2 linked regions of the Tamandua tetradactyla genome follow. The protein of the gene in region 2 interacts with the protein of the main gene of each other region in a pairwise test. Links are inferred from orthologs where the notes say so. Each region holds a gene or a part of one and is shown on either strand. Other genes may lie near its edges.

The links. The genes of interacting proteins can lie anywhere in the genome.
Region 1: the proteins of RGS2 (region 2) and DDR1 interact in a two-hybrid assay, tested with the Homo sapiens proteins (2 studies listed by BioGRID and IntAct). The link is inferred for Tamandua tetradactyla from reciprocal best matches to the Homo sapiens genes RGS2 and DDR1.

The regions. Positions count from the first base shown.
Region 1 is NC_135331.1:85,815,132-85,822,793, reverse strand, and holds the start of DDR1 (epithelial discoidin domain-containing receptor 1), read right to left. Parts: upstream 3,007-7,662; 5' UTR 2,931-3,006; coding exon 2,730-2,930; intron 1,574-2,729; exon of another isoform or gene 1,386-1,573; intron 1,229-1,385; exon of another isoform or gene 1,131-1,228; intron 64-1,130; exon of another isoform or gene 43-63; intron 1-42. UniProt on the Homo sapiens protein: Tyrosine kinase that functions as a cell surface receptor for fibrillar collagen and regulates cell attachment to the extracellular matrix, remodeling of the extracellular matrix, cell migration, differentiation, survival and cell proliferation.
Region 2 is NC_135330.1:48,612,717-48,620,370, forward strand, and holds the start of RGS2 (regulator of G-protein signaling 2), read left to right. Parts: upstream 1-4,648; 5' UTR 4,649-4,693; coding exon 4,694-4,803; intron 4,804-5,792; coding exon 5,793-5,894; intron 5,895-5,998; coding exon 5,999-6,060; intron 6,061-6,649; coding exon 6,650-6,816; intron 6,817-7,121; coding exon 7,122-7,316; 3' UTR 7,317-7,654. UniProt on the Homo sapiens protein: Regulates G protein-coupled receptor signaling cascades. Inhibits signal transduction by increasing the GTPase activity of G protein alpha subunits, thereby driving them into their inactive GDP-bound form.

The DNA.
Region 1 (7,662 bases), on a different chromosome or scaffold from region 2:
GGCTCAGAAACCCAGGGCACAGAGCCCAGCAGAGAAACTCACAGGGACATCTGGGGCGATCCATTACTAACACCCCCAAACACCCCATCTCCCTCCCCTGGGTCTAAACAGACACAGGAGGACAGGCCCGAAGCCCCACCCCACCCCACTGCAACCAATTACAGGCCAGCAGCTGGGACACCCAGAGGCAGGCCCTGCACCCTTTTCTCCCACCCCCACCCCCCCACACCAGACAAGACACCCACAGAGCTCTGTATAGATGCACGTGGTCAGACACAGGCGCTCACAGAGCCCGCTGTAAACACTCAGGCTAAATGTAGCTCCAGAGAGGCCAGACGCTTGCGTGAACACGCGCGCGCGCGCACACACACACACAAACGCTCAGTGTCTCACAGACAACCCCTAAGAGACTCTCAGAGATGGACACTGGCAAGTGACACACACATAAATCAATAACACACACAGACTCCCAGTCAGGGCTCACAAACTCTCACACACACCCCAACGCCATCCAGACTTCCACGTGCTTTCACATCCGCTCAATGAACAGTCATCTTCAGACACCTGTGAACATGAAATGGGGCACCCAGAGCTCTTGCGGCCATAGGGCAGAGATTCCATGAGAACTGGGGCCTGCCCCCAGTGCACTAGGCTGACCAAGCAGGGGAAAGCCAAGGGGTAGAGAACCGGCAGAAACTTGTGGGGAAGAAGAGCCATTTCTCCACTTTCATGCACACGTCTGCTTCCACCTGTCTCCCCTCCGTCACTTCATCTGGGCACCCCTACATCCCCAAGCACATGTCAGATGGGGCTGAAGAGCTGGGCAGGAATGTCCACCCAGCAGGGGAGCTGGGGGAGATGGGGAATTGGTGAGGTAGGGAGGGACCCTGAGGCCAGTGCTGAGGGTGGTGCCTGTAGGGCGATGAGGTCGGCTCATGGCAGAAGCAAATGACCATCCAGCAAGGCTGAGTGGCCATCACGGGCTGCGGGGGTGTTAAGTCCCTCTCTCTGCTGGGCTGAGGCCAGGCTTTCCAGCTGGGAGTGCATGGAGTGGGGGCTTCACATTTAGTAGTTGTCTCCTGGCCAGGAGGGAGGGCAGGCCCCGTGCTCTAGGGGGCAGATGAGGTTACCTCAGTGGGGCTAGTCTGAGCACCTGTCCTGGGTCGGTTCCTCAATGCCGGAACACCCTCTTCCTCTGAGATCGGGAGGCTCCTCCCCTCCCCATTTTCAGACAGCAAGCCGAGCGTTGGGGAGGCCGGGAGGGACAGACTTAGAAGCTGAACAAGCAAGGACAGCCCCCAAACATCCCGCCTCCCCAGGAGCCCCAGGCCTCCGGCCTTGGCTACCCGGCGCCCCGGCCGGGGTCCTCCCTCCGCTCCCCCTACCTCTCATCGCTCTTCCCGCAGACCCAGGCGTCCGACCCCGGGAGCGGGGCCTCCTCGGCGGCTGGGCCGAGGGGAGGGGTTGGGGGAGGCGGAGGGAGCCGGGAGCCGGGAGCCGGGAGCCAGGAGCGGGAGGCGCCGGCGGGGCTCGGGTGTCGGGAGGCGGCTCCCAAGAGCAGCTGTCGGGGGGCCTGTTCCGGGGAGAGGAGCCAAGGCTGGGGCGGCTCGAGCCCAGGCGCCGCCCCCCAGCTCCCCCCCCACCTCCGCCACGGTTCCCCCTCCCCTTCTCCTCCTCCTCGCCGCCCCCACCCCGCTCCCTCCCCTCTGCCTTCTCGCGGCGCGTCGGGCTCGCTGCCCTCCCTTCCACCTTGGTTCCCGCGGCTCCCAAGCCTGGCGCCGCCTTCGCGGCCCGCGCTCCTCTGCGCTCCGCCACGCCCACCCCGCATTCCCCCGCGTGCCGCGGCCTTCCCCAGGTAACCACCGTGCGGTCCCCTGCTCAGCGCTGCAGTCCCTCCCCACCTCCCCCCCGCCCCCCGCCCTCTCCCAGGCAGCCCAGCCTCTCAGCGCGGTGTCCTCCTGCCGGCTCCCTGCCCATCGCCTCCCACCAGAGCCTACCACCCCGTCCCCGCCCCAGTGTCCCCCACAAATGAAAACTATCAAAGCTGAGACCCCAGGGGGCCGAACTGAACCCTGATCCGGACCTCCAGGCCCGGGCACCTTCAGGCCTCTGGAGGGAGATCGCTCCCCTCCCCTGCTCCCCCTTCTCCCTCTCTCTGGGCTCAGTTCTTGGGGAGGAAGGTAAAGGGGAGCAGCTCCAGGGAACAGGAGAAGGAGCAGGTTCTCACAGGCCCGACTCAGCGTGGCAGCAGGAGTTTGGGGGGGGGGGGAAGGGTGCAGGGCTCACGTGGCCAGCCAGGCCCCCTGAACCCACTCTTTTCACACCACCAATCTGCTGCCCTGCACCCCAACCTGGGACTGCCCACCCACTCTCTTCCAGTTCCTCTCCCCTTCTCTGCAGGGCATTTCTGTCCTCTCAGGGTAGCCTCTGTCCAGACTCCTCAGGTGTAGCCAGCTCTGGCCCTGGAGGGGACCCGAGGGTCTGGTCCCTGGCAGGGACTGGCTAGAAGTCCTCCACCAAGGGACCAGGTGGGGAGGGGGAGGATAGAGGCACCATGGGAATCAGACACAGTGGACAGGAGAGGGAAGAAGGGAGCCAGAGAAGATGGGTGCAAGTAGACAGGGTCAACAAATGAAATGAGAGAGAGAAACCAAACAAATGGGGTGAGATATGAAGACAGAGCTTGTGGGGCGAAGGCATTGCACCCTAAGCCCTCCCTGGGGCCGCACCTTCTCTCTCCACAGGCCCACATCTGCCAGGCAACTAGCCGATGTCACCATCCAGTAGAGAGCTCTGTCCCTTGATACCTCCCAGCAGATATGAGCTTTGTGCTGTCCCAGACAGCAGTCCCAGGAAAGAAACACAACGTCCCGACCAGATAAGTACACAGCAACACCACCAGGAAGAGGCTGGCCATTGGGAGAGGCCATGGCACATAGGGACACTCCCACGTTGAACACATAAACCCAAGGACGCCCCGACTGTTAAGGGACATCTGCGAGCAGAGAGCCCGGTGGTCACTGAGACAAGTCCCTTGTCCGGCCTTTCCCTCCCACCGGACCCCTAGGGTTCCCCACCCAGAGTTCTCACCCCTCCGGAGACAGCCGCTGGGGAATCTGGGCCCTGGAGAGGCAGGGCCAGGGGTGGAGCTGGGGGAGGGGTGGAGCCCAGCTTCCCAAGTAACCTCACCTGGGCAGACCACAGTCCCTCCTACCAGGGCTGTACTCTGGGGAGGCCGGGGCAGGCTGGCAGGGCTAAGCTGGAATGGAGTAGGCGCCCCTCACACCCCAGTGAGACATTCTAAACCCCAGGCCTGGCGCTGACCGGGCCAGGTGGCATGGTGGTGCCAGACAGCAGGTTCCGCTGGGGAGACTGGAGGAAGCCAGAGAGTCCTGAACACCCTCTCCCTACTCCCCCAGGAGAAATTCCTAGTGGGTGATGCCCACCTCGCCCCAACCCAGGGCTGGAAGAGTGGGGAAGTATGCAGGGCTGGGACCCTGCGGAGTCAAGTGACAGTGGACAGGAGGCTGGAGCCGGCTGGAATGTGGGCTCGGAGCTGAGATTCCCAGGGGCCAAGGAGGGAAATCCCAGCCATGCAGGGGCCCCCAGAGCAGCACCAAAGACCAAGAATACCCACCCACCTGCCTGTGCCCCTGCAGAGCCCATCCCACGTCCTGCATCACTCCCCACCCCTAGAGGCCCCTCCCCACCCCTAGAGGCCCCCGTGTCTTCCTGAATCCCCAAAAGGACCCTCTACCCATTTCCCCATGCCTTCTCCTCCAGGGCTTCCCTCCAGGGCTTCCCTCTCCAGTCAGTGGCCTCCTGGGGCCCGGGGAAGGAGAGGAGGGGAAACAGCTGAAAAAATGTGAGGAGAGGCACATAGGAGAGAGCGGCTTCCGGCCTGCAGACCACCGGGCCACTGCAGGAAACCCACAGGACCAGTGAGAGGGAGGATGGCCCAGGTGGGCCCCCAGAGGCTACCTTCCTGGAGATGCAGCTGCCTCTGGAGGGAGCAGGCTGGGTCAGCAGCTGGGGAGAGGGAGAAGCTGCTGAGGGTAGGGGGTGGGGGTGCAGTGAGAGTGAACAAGGCCCGGGCATGAGTCAGAGCTTGGTGGCTCCCAGTACATATGGGAAACTGAGGTCCAGGAGTAGAAGGAGGAGAAAGAGATGACATTGGTCCAGGGGAAACATGAGACAGGGCTCAGCTGTGGAGAGCCTGGGCAAGGGAGAGAGCAGAAACAGGGGACCAGAAGGAGGAGGGAGGCTTATGGTCAGATGGGGATAGTGGTGACCAAACTCAGAGAGAGGCAGGAGATAGACTGAGGTCGAGGCTGAGGGAAACTGGGTGTAAAGAGGAAGAGGATAGAGGCAGGGGCCACCTAGGGTGGGAAGACTTCAGGACTCAAGGGAGAGCCTTGAGGTGTGGCCCTGGTGAGTGAACTGCAGAGCAGACAGAGGTCCTCGGAGAGGACCGTGGGAAACAGGAGCAGTGAGAGGGGTGGAGAGAGACCACAGGGCAGGAGAAGCAAAGACAAAGGGAGGGAAGAGGACGTTGGAGTCAAACTGAGAGACTGGGGAAAGAAACAGAAGGTTGAGGCACAAGGGCTGAAACTAAGGGCTATGGGGACAACTGCGCAACAGAGGAGGCAAGACCGAGGCCCAGAGACTTAGTCAAACCTCATTTCTGTGGTTCAGGACGCAGAGGTCCCAGCCCTCCCCTTGGGGCCATCCTAGCCTGCCCCAGCTCTGCTCCCCATCCTTCCCGCTCTCAGCCTGCTCCCCTCCTCCCACTCTCCTTCCAGCCGGACCGCCTGGCCCCTCCCCACAAGGGGAGGGCCCAGCTCCCGTGCCCAGGCCTGCCCTCCCAACTCAGCTCTGCTTTCCTCCCTCTTACCTCCAGCACTAGGTTCTCCCGGGTCCGGGCCCCCCCCCAGCCTTACACCTTTGGAGTTCCAGGTCTGGGGCTGCCGAGGCTGCCTGGCTTTGTCCGCCCGTCCGGGCCGGGTGCCCTGGAGCAGCTGCCCTGGCCAGCTGCGGCTGGCTTCACCGTGACCATGACAACGCAGCCCCGCTCCCCTCAGCCCCCGCAGAGAGGGAGGGAGCAGCCTGGCCCGGAGAAAGGGAGGGGAAGCAGAGGACTGTGAAACCAACCAAAGGGAGACCCCAGACAAAGAGACCCCAGACAAAGGGACACGGAGGGCGGCAGAGTGGGGAGAAAGCAACTTTGCAGCTGAGCGCTTATGCAGTGGGGGGCCCTCCTGAGGAGGAGAGAGAATCCAGACCAGAGGGGGACAGCCACACTTTAAAGTGGGAGCACAGAGATGAGAACTAACTGGTGGTGGTCCTTGGGCGACAACCTGCTTGGTTCCGTGAAAGGCATCCCCCATTTTCAAGAACAAGCCTGATTTCAAACATACTCTGACTTAAGGACAAATGTCATCGTTGGACAACGCAGTCCAATTCTTGGTCTGGAAAAATATGCTCCCCAAAGCCAAATGTGACTCTGATGAGGTCTGGAGGGAGTGAGGCATGGAGGCAGAGACCAAATGCCTCTCAGGAGCAGGTGACAAGAATGAGAGGACCAAATGGGGAGGGGAGAAGGCACTGCCTTGCAATCTGAGAGGTGAGGTTTGAAATTGCCCCTCACCATCTAGCAGATCTTGGCTGAGTTGTACCGGGTCCCAGTGCCCTCCCTAGTAATGTAGAGATAATAATCCTTGCCCCGGTGGTCTGCTGGGATGAGGAAGTGACACAACATCTGCGAAGTGCAGGTCCATTGGATGGAAGCCACCTTCCAAGCTCCTGCAGCATGCTCTCCCTCTGTAGCTTTCTGATGTGTCTCTCAGGCCTTCTGAGTTCCACTCCCCAGTTCATTCCACAGTTATTATTAAGGGTTTGTCTAGGGCGGGGCTGTGATGGTCAAAGCTTTGAAAGATTCATTGAGGAATATGACCCACTCCCTGCCCTCTGCCCCTTTCCAGTCTAGGAGGGGGACAGGTAGAAGTGCAGGATTGCACTGGAGAAGGAGCTGGAAGAGGCTGTGGGGGTGGGGGGCGGGGGGAAGGGCCAGACCAGGTCCTCCTGAGGACAGAGAACTCAGGAAGAGTTGGCGCTTGATCTAGGCCTTAAATCAGGCTAAGAATTTGCAGAGATGAGGGAAGGACGTTTCCGGCTGAGGAAGCCGAGGGAAGATGGGCAAGAAGACCTGAGTGTGGTTATTTGAAAATGCTGTTGGGACTGTAAGAAGGGGTTCTCTTCTGGCAAGTAAGCCCAGAAAGGCAGGTAGTGGACTCTCTTGCTGGTAGTTTGGCTTATTCTGAAGGTGAGAAGTCCTGCTGTTTTGAGATGAGAAATGACGGGATTAGATTTTGTTATTTTAAAAGTCGTTTCTCTTTTTCCTGCAAAGGATAGGCTAAGCCTACTAAAAGTAAGGCGTAGGAGTCACCCCCAGAGAACCTCTTTTGTTGCTCAGAAGTGGTCTCTCTCTCTCTAAGTCAACTCAGCATGTGAACTCACTGCCCTCCCCCCTACATGGGACATGACTCCCAGGGGTGTAAATCTCCCTGGCAAAGTGGGACAGATATCCTGGGATGAGTTGGGACCAGCATCAAGGGATTGAAAAAGCCTTCTTGACCAAAAGAGGGAAGAGAGAGATGAGACAAAATATAGTTTCAGTGGCTGAGAGATTTCAAACAGAGTTGAGAGGTCATCCTAGAGTTTTTTCTTGTGCATTATGTATATATATCCCCTTTTTAGTTTATGGTGTATTGGGGTGGCTGGAGGGAAGTACCTGAAACTGTAGAGCTGTGTTCCAGTAACCTTGATTCTTGAAGACGATTGTATAAAAATACAACATTTACAATATGACTGCGTGATTGTGAAAGTCATGTCTGAAGTTCCTTTGATCCAGGGTATGGACAGATGAGTAAAAAATATGGATAATAAATAAATAAATAAATAATAGGAAGGGACAAGGGGTAAAATAAATTGAGTAGATGGAAATGCTAGTAGTCAATGAGAGGGTGGGGTAAGGGGTATGGTATGTATGAGTTTTTTTCTTTTTATTTCTTTTTCTGGAGTGATGCAAATATTCTAAAAAATAATCATAGTGATGAATACACAACTATGTGATGATTTTGTGAGCCACTGATTCTACACCACGTATGGAATGTATGTGTATGAGGATTTCCCAACAAAAATATATATTTTTAAAAAGTCGTGTCTGGTGGGGGGACAGATGCACTGTACAGGACAGTGGCTCAGGGGTCAGGGTGGGCACCGGGGGCTTCACTTGCCACCTGATTGGGCTTGAGTCTGTGTTTCTGCTTCCTTGTCTGTAGAACCCACTATTATGGGCTAAAATGCTTTAGAACAGTGTCTGGCCTGTAGTAAACGCTCAGAAGCTGTTCATTTTTAGTATTAGTGAGGAGAAGCTGAGGGATTAATTTCAGCTTTATCCTGCCCACATCCCCCCTGACGTTTCCGCCTGCACCCCAGCCTGGAATGCCAGGAGAACAACGGCAAGGAAGTGGTCGGATCCTACAGGAATGCAACGCACATGCTGGGTATTTTCCTTGTGTTTTCACCTATCATTTAATTGTGTCCTCAGGGCCCTCTGAGGTGGCTTTCCATAAAAAGGGAAGAAGGCCCAGAGACGTTGTA
Region 2 (7,654 bases):
GGTTGGATCTCCAGCAAAAGCAAAACTCATACAGGCATTTATGGAAAGACATTTTACTCACATACAGAAGAGACAAAGCAAGGTCAGCTTCACAAGCTCCACAAAGTAAGGTCAGCTGGTTCCCCATAGCCAGCAGGTCTCAATCCATGGGCTAAGCAGGGTGCCGTTCTGAAAACAATATCCTTTTTCTTGTGTTTGTGTGCTGCCACAGTGGAGGAACTCCACCCCCTCCCCTCCAGAGACGGATATACCACCTGGATGTTAGCTGGATGTAGTAAAACATGCCCACCTGAAACATTTACATATGCTCAAAACAACAGGGGAAGAAATGTACTAGCAGTCCCCTTACCTACTAGGGATTTGTGTTTTATCCTGCCAGGCTGACATACTTGGTCCTGAGCACAGGATGTATTTGTGGGTCCCAGGGAAAGGCTGCAGGCTGGGATAGAACTGCCCCCTAATACACACACACACACACACACACACACACACACACGTACACATGTAATGACTTTCTACAAATTCAATGCACAGAAATTAAAATCCCAGGCAAAAGAACTTCCAGGAAAAAAAAATACCTAGCCTTGCCTCTTTATTTTGTAGAAAATAGGCCACCTATTTAACTTAGAGCAGTTACTGGTTATAAATAGAGCAACATTTATAAAAAAGCATTTATAACCACTTACTCTCCCCTGGGATTCTGTGTAGCCCAACGTCACAAAAGAGAAAGAAGCAATGAGCATACAATGGAAATAAATCCCAAATTTAGACCTCATATTTACGGTTCTTTAACTTACAGATCTAATAACAAAAAAGCTTAGTGGTATTTCAATATATGCTAGTGTTTTTATTCAGAAAACAATGTAAAACAAAACTTCATGATGTTCCTGTCATTGGTTTCCAAAGGGAATCCAGGTGCTCAGTAAGGAAAGGTCTATTAAATTTAAGTTGGCCCTGCCTGCATTTGAAGATGTACAACTTACCTCATACCATGGATAAATTCATGGTAGAACCAAGAAAGGGTTCTAAACGGAATTATCAATATAAGAATTGATAAAAATTATTAACTCTTCTATAATGCGTGTCAAGTATTCTCTTTAACCTCTCATTCCTGACAAAGACACTAATTTTCTCTCTTTTCAGCTTCTGAATAGGAAACTGCATTGTAATAAAGACATGATTTTTAAATCTCACCTCCTATTGGGGGAAGGAATTGAGTACAGAATCTTGTCTGGTCTTCTGTTCACTGGATGAAAAGAATACCTCACTAACAAAAGTTAAATTTGACGAAAAAAAAAAGGTATCACACTTCCTCAAATATAGTCCACCGAGTACTAAAAGTTTTCATTTTTTCCAATTACTTATCATACCCTTTACTACACAGGGTTTAATTTTCTAGTTTTTTCTTCCTTTTTTTTAACTTACCACACATGAAAGATTTCATAAGGTAAGCGACAGGTTTATAGCCTTTACAAATTCAGGAACTAAGATAACCTAGCTAAAATCAAAGCACAGATTAATAGAAAGTATGATCCCTTTGCGCTTTTTTAAACCATGTATCTTAGCTCCTAAATGTCTAAAACATGGGAGTTATTATGCATAAATATTTTTGCTAGTTATGATTAATAAAACTTGATTAATGATGGCTAGCATAGAGTGGGAGATGGGAAAATAACGGAATATGACAGAGGGGACGCTTGTCATATTTTCCCCTTGGTATTGTTAAAAATTTGTATTTTTTGCATATCTTTTTTGAAATTTAAAACAAATACCAAACAAGCTCAGGAACCACACTGAGAACCTATACCGCTAATGTGTTCAATCAGAAAACCTTTCCAGTAGAGGGCATGGTAGATTCAACCTGAAAAATGGATGGTTATGTCACTCTCAAGCTGCGGTTTAGCTGTGCAAACCTATTCCGCTGTTTCCACCGCAGAATGGAAAATGTGTCATGCTCATCTTGAGCAATCCCATTTACCTAAAAGTCATTATAACAACAAAAACAAACAAAAAAAGACGACAACAAGAAAAGGGACGTCATCAAATGTTGTAGCCTTTCCTTTAATTATAGTACTAAAGGTCTGCTAATCTTTTAAAAAGCCACTTTAAGGAGTACCTTTTTCACAAAAAGTTTACTCAGTCCGTAGCAGGTATTGCCTTAACTCTTAACATTTACATTCAGATTTATCAATCAACCACATAATTTTCAGGGAAAAATAAATTCTGCCATTTAACATCAGTTGTTAATTTGAAAAGGGTTTGTGAAAAAAGCAAATATATTAAACACTTACAGAACACTCAGGATAGTCTGTATTTAAACACCAGTTGTTTACATGCATACATGTATATTCACTTTTGTGACTATGTTGAGATGATTGAACCTCTGTGACTTGGAAATCTCTGATAAGTTGAAATGTTAATGCTTGCTTATTTTCCTGCCATATCGAGAGCACTTATTAAATAGCTATTGTGGTTAATAGTACAATCATAGTAATATTCTTTCATCAATTACAATAAAGGCACCACCCTAATGCAAGGTGATAATGTGGAGAAGGATATATGGGAATTCTGTATTTTCTGCATGAATTTTCTGTAAGCCTACAGCTTCTCAAAAAATTTAATTTAAAACTAACTGTTATAAATTTGATTCTGTACAAATCTCTATGACATTATCTTTCTATCTTAACAGTACTTAAGTATTTATAACCAAATTAGCTGAGTTAATTCTTTATTTTTCCACCATGAATAGCTATATCTCTGAACATTTCCTTTTCCACATATATACAAATTAATAACAAGTTTTGCTATAGCACTTTAGAATTTATAGAGGACTTTCACATAAGATTTGCATGATATCCTATGAGATTAGCAAGAAAGACACATTATTTTCCTTACAGATGAGTTGTTGCTGCTCAAGCAGATGGTGGAGTAACTGCCCCAACAGTTACTTGGTATTTATTGGTTAAGCTGAGAGTCCAGTTAGGTTTTCTAGCACCAAGTCAGCTCTCTCTCCCTGCTGCATCCTTGTTAGAAACCCTACTTTTCAACTGTCTATGAGTGAATTCTACTATTCTAGGTTCCAAGTGAAACAAATATTGAGGTTCATATTATCAAGAAAAGGCAAGTGAAAAAAGAAGAAATGTGAATTCTTTTAGAGCTGAAGGGAATACACTAGAGAAAAATGACATTCTCACATTTCATAAACATTTTATAGCATCTACTACCAAAATCTAACTGATTTTCCTTTCCATAATAGAGTACCTAACTGTTCTCTTTAGTAATGATTGCAGATTTTGCTTCCTCATCAAACATTGAGCTCTAAATACTGAAAAAAGCAAGGTCATTAGTTCCAATTTTCTTTTAACAGTTCTAATGCAAAGTTGGGAGAATATTTGCAGGCCAGCCAATAGCTTGCTGTTAATCTTACTGTGGAATTAGATGCTTGGTGGGAAAACCACTTGAATTTTCCAGTTACATTACAGTTCTGGCAATGCTGTTTTCCAAAATCAAATCATTCTGTGGCTGAGGTGATCTATTTCTCCTTGCTAATTAAGCTACTTTAAAGACTGCAGGAGTAGACAGAGATGAGTTTTTGAAGAACACATGAAACTTACTTAAGCAAACTATTAAATTTTCCTTCCTTTTTCTAATTAAGTGTTCTGGTAAATTCTAAGCCAACCAAAAATGACTCGTGGAAATTCTGCCTACTGGCGAACTTAAACTAGAATGATTCCGGAACATTCCAGCCTCCAGATCTCGATGGTTCCCTCTCTCTCAAGTCACCAAAAAGAGATCAGTGATTCCTGTTTTGGAAAGAGAGGAGGCCTGGGATTCCCTGAGGAATAACCCCGCAATCCCACGAACGTACCCAGCTGTGTCTAGTGGTAGAGCTCAGAATGCAAAAGCAATTTCAGCACTGTCATCTGATAGTCACTTTCTCCTGTTCCCTCCCTGTCTAATGTCCATTCCCCCAAATATTCCAAATGCCTAGGCAAGCTGTAAAACAAGTCACACCATATAAGCCCACGGGCCGTCAAGGTTTCAGGTTTCTCCTGTTCAGTTTCTTCCAGCAAATCAAGGAGAGGCACGAGCGAGAATCTCCCCGGCGCCCGGGTTTACTCCACAGATGGTCTCAGCTGAGTTGCTAGGGAAGTTGTGTAAACAACAAATGCGGCGCAGGCACAGGGCGCGCACTCAAACGAGGAAGAGAAACCTGTTAATTCAATACGAGGCAATGGCACTCTGGCTCGCAGCAAGCCACCTTTCCCTGCTGGGGAATCATCACTCCCGTTCTGGGGATGAGGAACACGTCGGGGGCGGGGGGTAAGGGACGGGGCAGCCCACCCGCACAGCCTCGGATCCCACCAGGTCGCCACCCCGAGCAAAGGTCGCCGGCGACCTGTCACAGGGCGAACTCTCGCCCCACCGCGGCCCCCGCCCAGCCGCCCATTTTGGCTCCACTGCGCACGAAGCCGGGGGCCGCCGACGTCAGCAGCGCCCCCGTTACGAGACCCTTCGCTGGCGGCCGTGACAGCCGCGAGCTCGCGCTGGCCCCGCCCTGTGCCCGTCAGGCGGCCAATCCGCGCCCCCTGGGGGCGGGGCGGGCGCCGGGAGGTTCCGTCCCTTCGCCTCTGCCTCTCATAAATACTGCGGCGCGCGGCCGAGCGCAGGCTGTTGGCTCGAGAGGACGATAATGCAAAGTGCTATGTTCTTGGCCGTCCAGCACGACTGCAGACCTATGGACAAAAACGCTGGCAGCGGCCCCAAGAGCGAAGAGAAGCGGGAGAAGATGAAGCGGACCCTGTAAGTACCGCGTTCTCCTTTCCCCCACCAGCTCCCACCCTGCGGGGCTCGTTCTCCCGGTTTGTGCAAATGCAGTAGAATGGTTTCGGCTTTGACTGTAGGAAACGATATCGCCTGCGTCTCTGCAGAAACAAAAATTGTGGAAAGGTTCATTGGCCAAATTAAGGCTAAATCTGTATTTGGGGGTATATAGTTATTTTGTTGCATGAGCGACGGATGACCAGGTAGTTGGTAGACGCCAGGAAATCGCGGCTTATTTTGTCTTTCTTGTTTTTGGCCCCTGCATTTAAAATGACATCAGAGATTAAATGTCAGCTGCGGCCGAAGCGCGTCCCCAACATTGAGTACTGATCAGCTTATGCAGCTGATGCTGGTTCTGAATATACTCCTTTTAAAGCTATTATTGCCTTTTAATTGAAGAGTAGACCTAACCCACTCACGACTGTGTAACAAACGATTGTTCTGTAGCATCTGCTTAAAATCGGTGCTGTAGTTGAGCAGAGACGAGAGAGAGAAATCACGCACACCTCTTTGTACGCAGCCTTTGGCTTACTTTGGGAATCTCCTGCTTTAAAAGTGGAAGGAAAATAAGTGGGTCTGTTAAAGGCAGTTCCTCTGTTGTTTTCATCAAGGGTGAAATGTCCTAGAGTTGTACCTAGCTTTGCAAAGAAACGGCCTGCCTTTTGCCGGCCAGAAGTAGCACCTGCCCTTTGAAGTACAAGAAATAATTCATTAAAATACCTGGGGACTTTAAGTGATTTAAGGTAGTCCTTCCTTTACTTATAAGACTGTTATGTTCAGATTGATGGATGAAACTGGATTTAACATTAAATGGGTAAAATTTGTCTCACTTGGAGAGAAATTACTTGGTTTTATTTGGCTTGTCTGTAGCTACTGGATGACTTTGGTAGAAATACATTCAGCTGCAGTAGCATTTTCAAGGGTTGCCTCTTAGTGAGTAACCTGGGTTTTGTTTTTGTTTTTTTAAGTTTAAAAGATTGGAAGACCCGTTTGAGCTACTTCTTGCAAAATTCCTCTACTCCTGGGAAGCCCAAAATTGGGAAGAAGAGCAAACAGCAAACTCTTATTAAGTAAGTAAAAAAAATCCTATACTTACAAATACGAATCTGTAGATGCTGGACTGAAAAGAGGAACTCTGATATACACAAGCTAATGTGCAGCGCTTGTCTTGCAGGCCTTCTCCAGAGGAAGCACAGCTGTGGTCAGAAGCATTCGATGAGCTGCTAGCCAGTAAATGTAAGTTAACTTCTTATATTTGATCCATTTCAAGTGTCACAGGAGTCTAGGAAGGTAGTGTCCACTCAACAGAACAGCAGTTTGTCTGATGGGAGTTAGACTGTACAATCACTGTAGCATAAGGCCAATTTTATTCTCATTTCCTATTTTCCGATGTTTCCAGGGTTAAACCATGTTTAACCATATATTCAGTCAAGATGGAGGGAAAATTAGCCTAAAAAAAATTAAAGTGGCAGTTACTCTTAGTTTAAGGGTGAGTCAGCTTTTCCATTGCAGACAATATTTTCTAACAGCTTAGTTCCCAGAGAATTATGGCTCTCCTGTAAGTATTTATTTTGCATTGATAGCAAAGTTAAGTTTTTGTATTTTTATAGCAGTGTGCCACCATAAACAGTTTGCTTGCTGGCATCTTAGCCTTTAAATTAAAGAGCTAAATCTGAGGATTACAAGTTTGAGTGAAATCTAGAAAATTACTATCATCTAGAAGTAATTAAAATATGGGGGGAGGGGAAGTACTACAAATAAAAAAATAAGAGATTATTTGGTCACTCTTTTTTTTCACATTGTGCATGCTTTTTTTTCCCTTCAGATGGTCTTGCTGCATTCAGGGCTTTTTTAAAATCTGAATTCTGTGAAGAAAATATTGAGTTCTGGCTGGCCTGTGAAGACTTCAAAAAAACCAAGTCACCCCAAAAGCTGTCCTCAAAAGCAAGGAAAATATATACTGACTTCATAGAAAAGGAAGCTCCAAAAGAGGTAAAAAAAAATTTAAAAAAATTCCTCCTTCACTAATACAGTGAAAAATATTTTTTAAATCTTTAGCACCAAAGTGAAATCATAACCAAAGGGATGTCAAAAGGATGGGGAGTGATGGTAGGAGGAATCCATCCCCTCCTCCCCATCCTAGTTTTCACTGAAGTTTCTCCAAAGACTGCCTGGGGGAAGCTAATCAGACATTATAGTTTGGGGTTTTAGTTTGTTTTGTTTTTTACAAATACTAAATAGATTTCCATATCTCTAACTCTGAGTATTAACTAAACCAATTTTCTGTTTTATTTCAGATAAACATAGACTTTCAAACCAAAACATTGATTGCTCAAAATATACAAGAGGCTACAAGTGGCTGCTTTACAACTGCCCAGAAAAGGGTATACAGCTTGATGGAGAACAACTCTTATCCCCGTTTCTTGGAATCAGAATTCTACCAAGACTTGTGTAAAAAGCCACAGATCACTACAGAGCCCCATGCAACATGAGATGAAAAAGGGGGCCAAAAAATGGAGAACTTTGCATTATTTTTCCTAAGGGGAAAGGCTGTGATCTGCTCAAAACCCCAACGACTGACCTTGGATTCAGCCTGGGTGTTTAGGAAACATCACTCAGAACTATTGATTCACAGTTGGGTAGTAAATGAGGAAGCTCGTAACAGTGTAGGAGAAGCTTGCATTGAAATGACTTCCCTCACTGTGCATAGAACACAGAGGGAATATGTGCTCTGAATCTGGTGCATCTCCCACTGGAAATGCAGGGATGTGAAGTGAAAGATACCATATGATATAGTTGATCCAGAAGCACTTAAAATCAATAGGTCTGG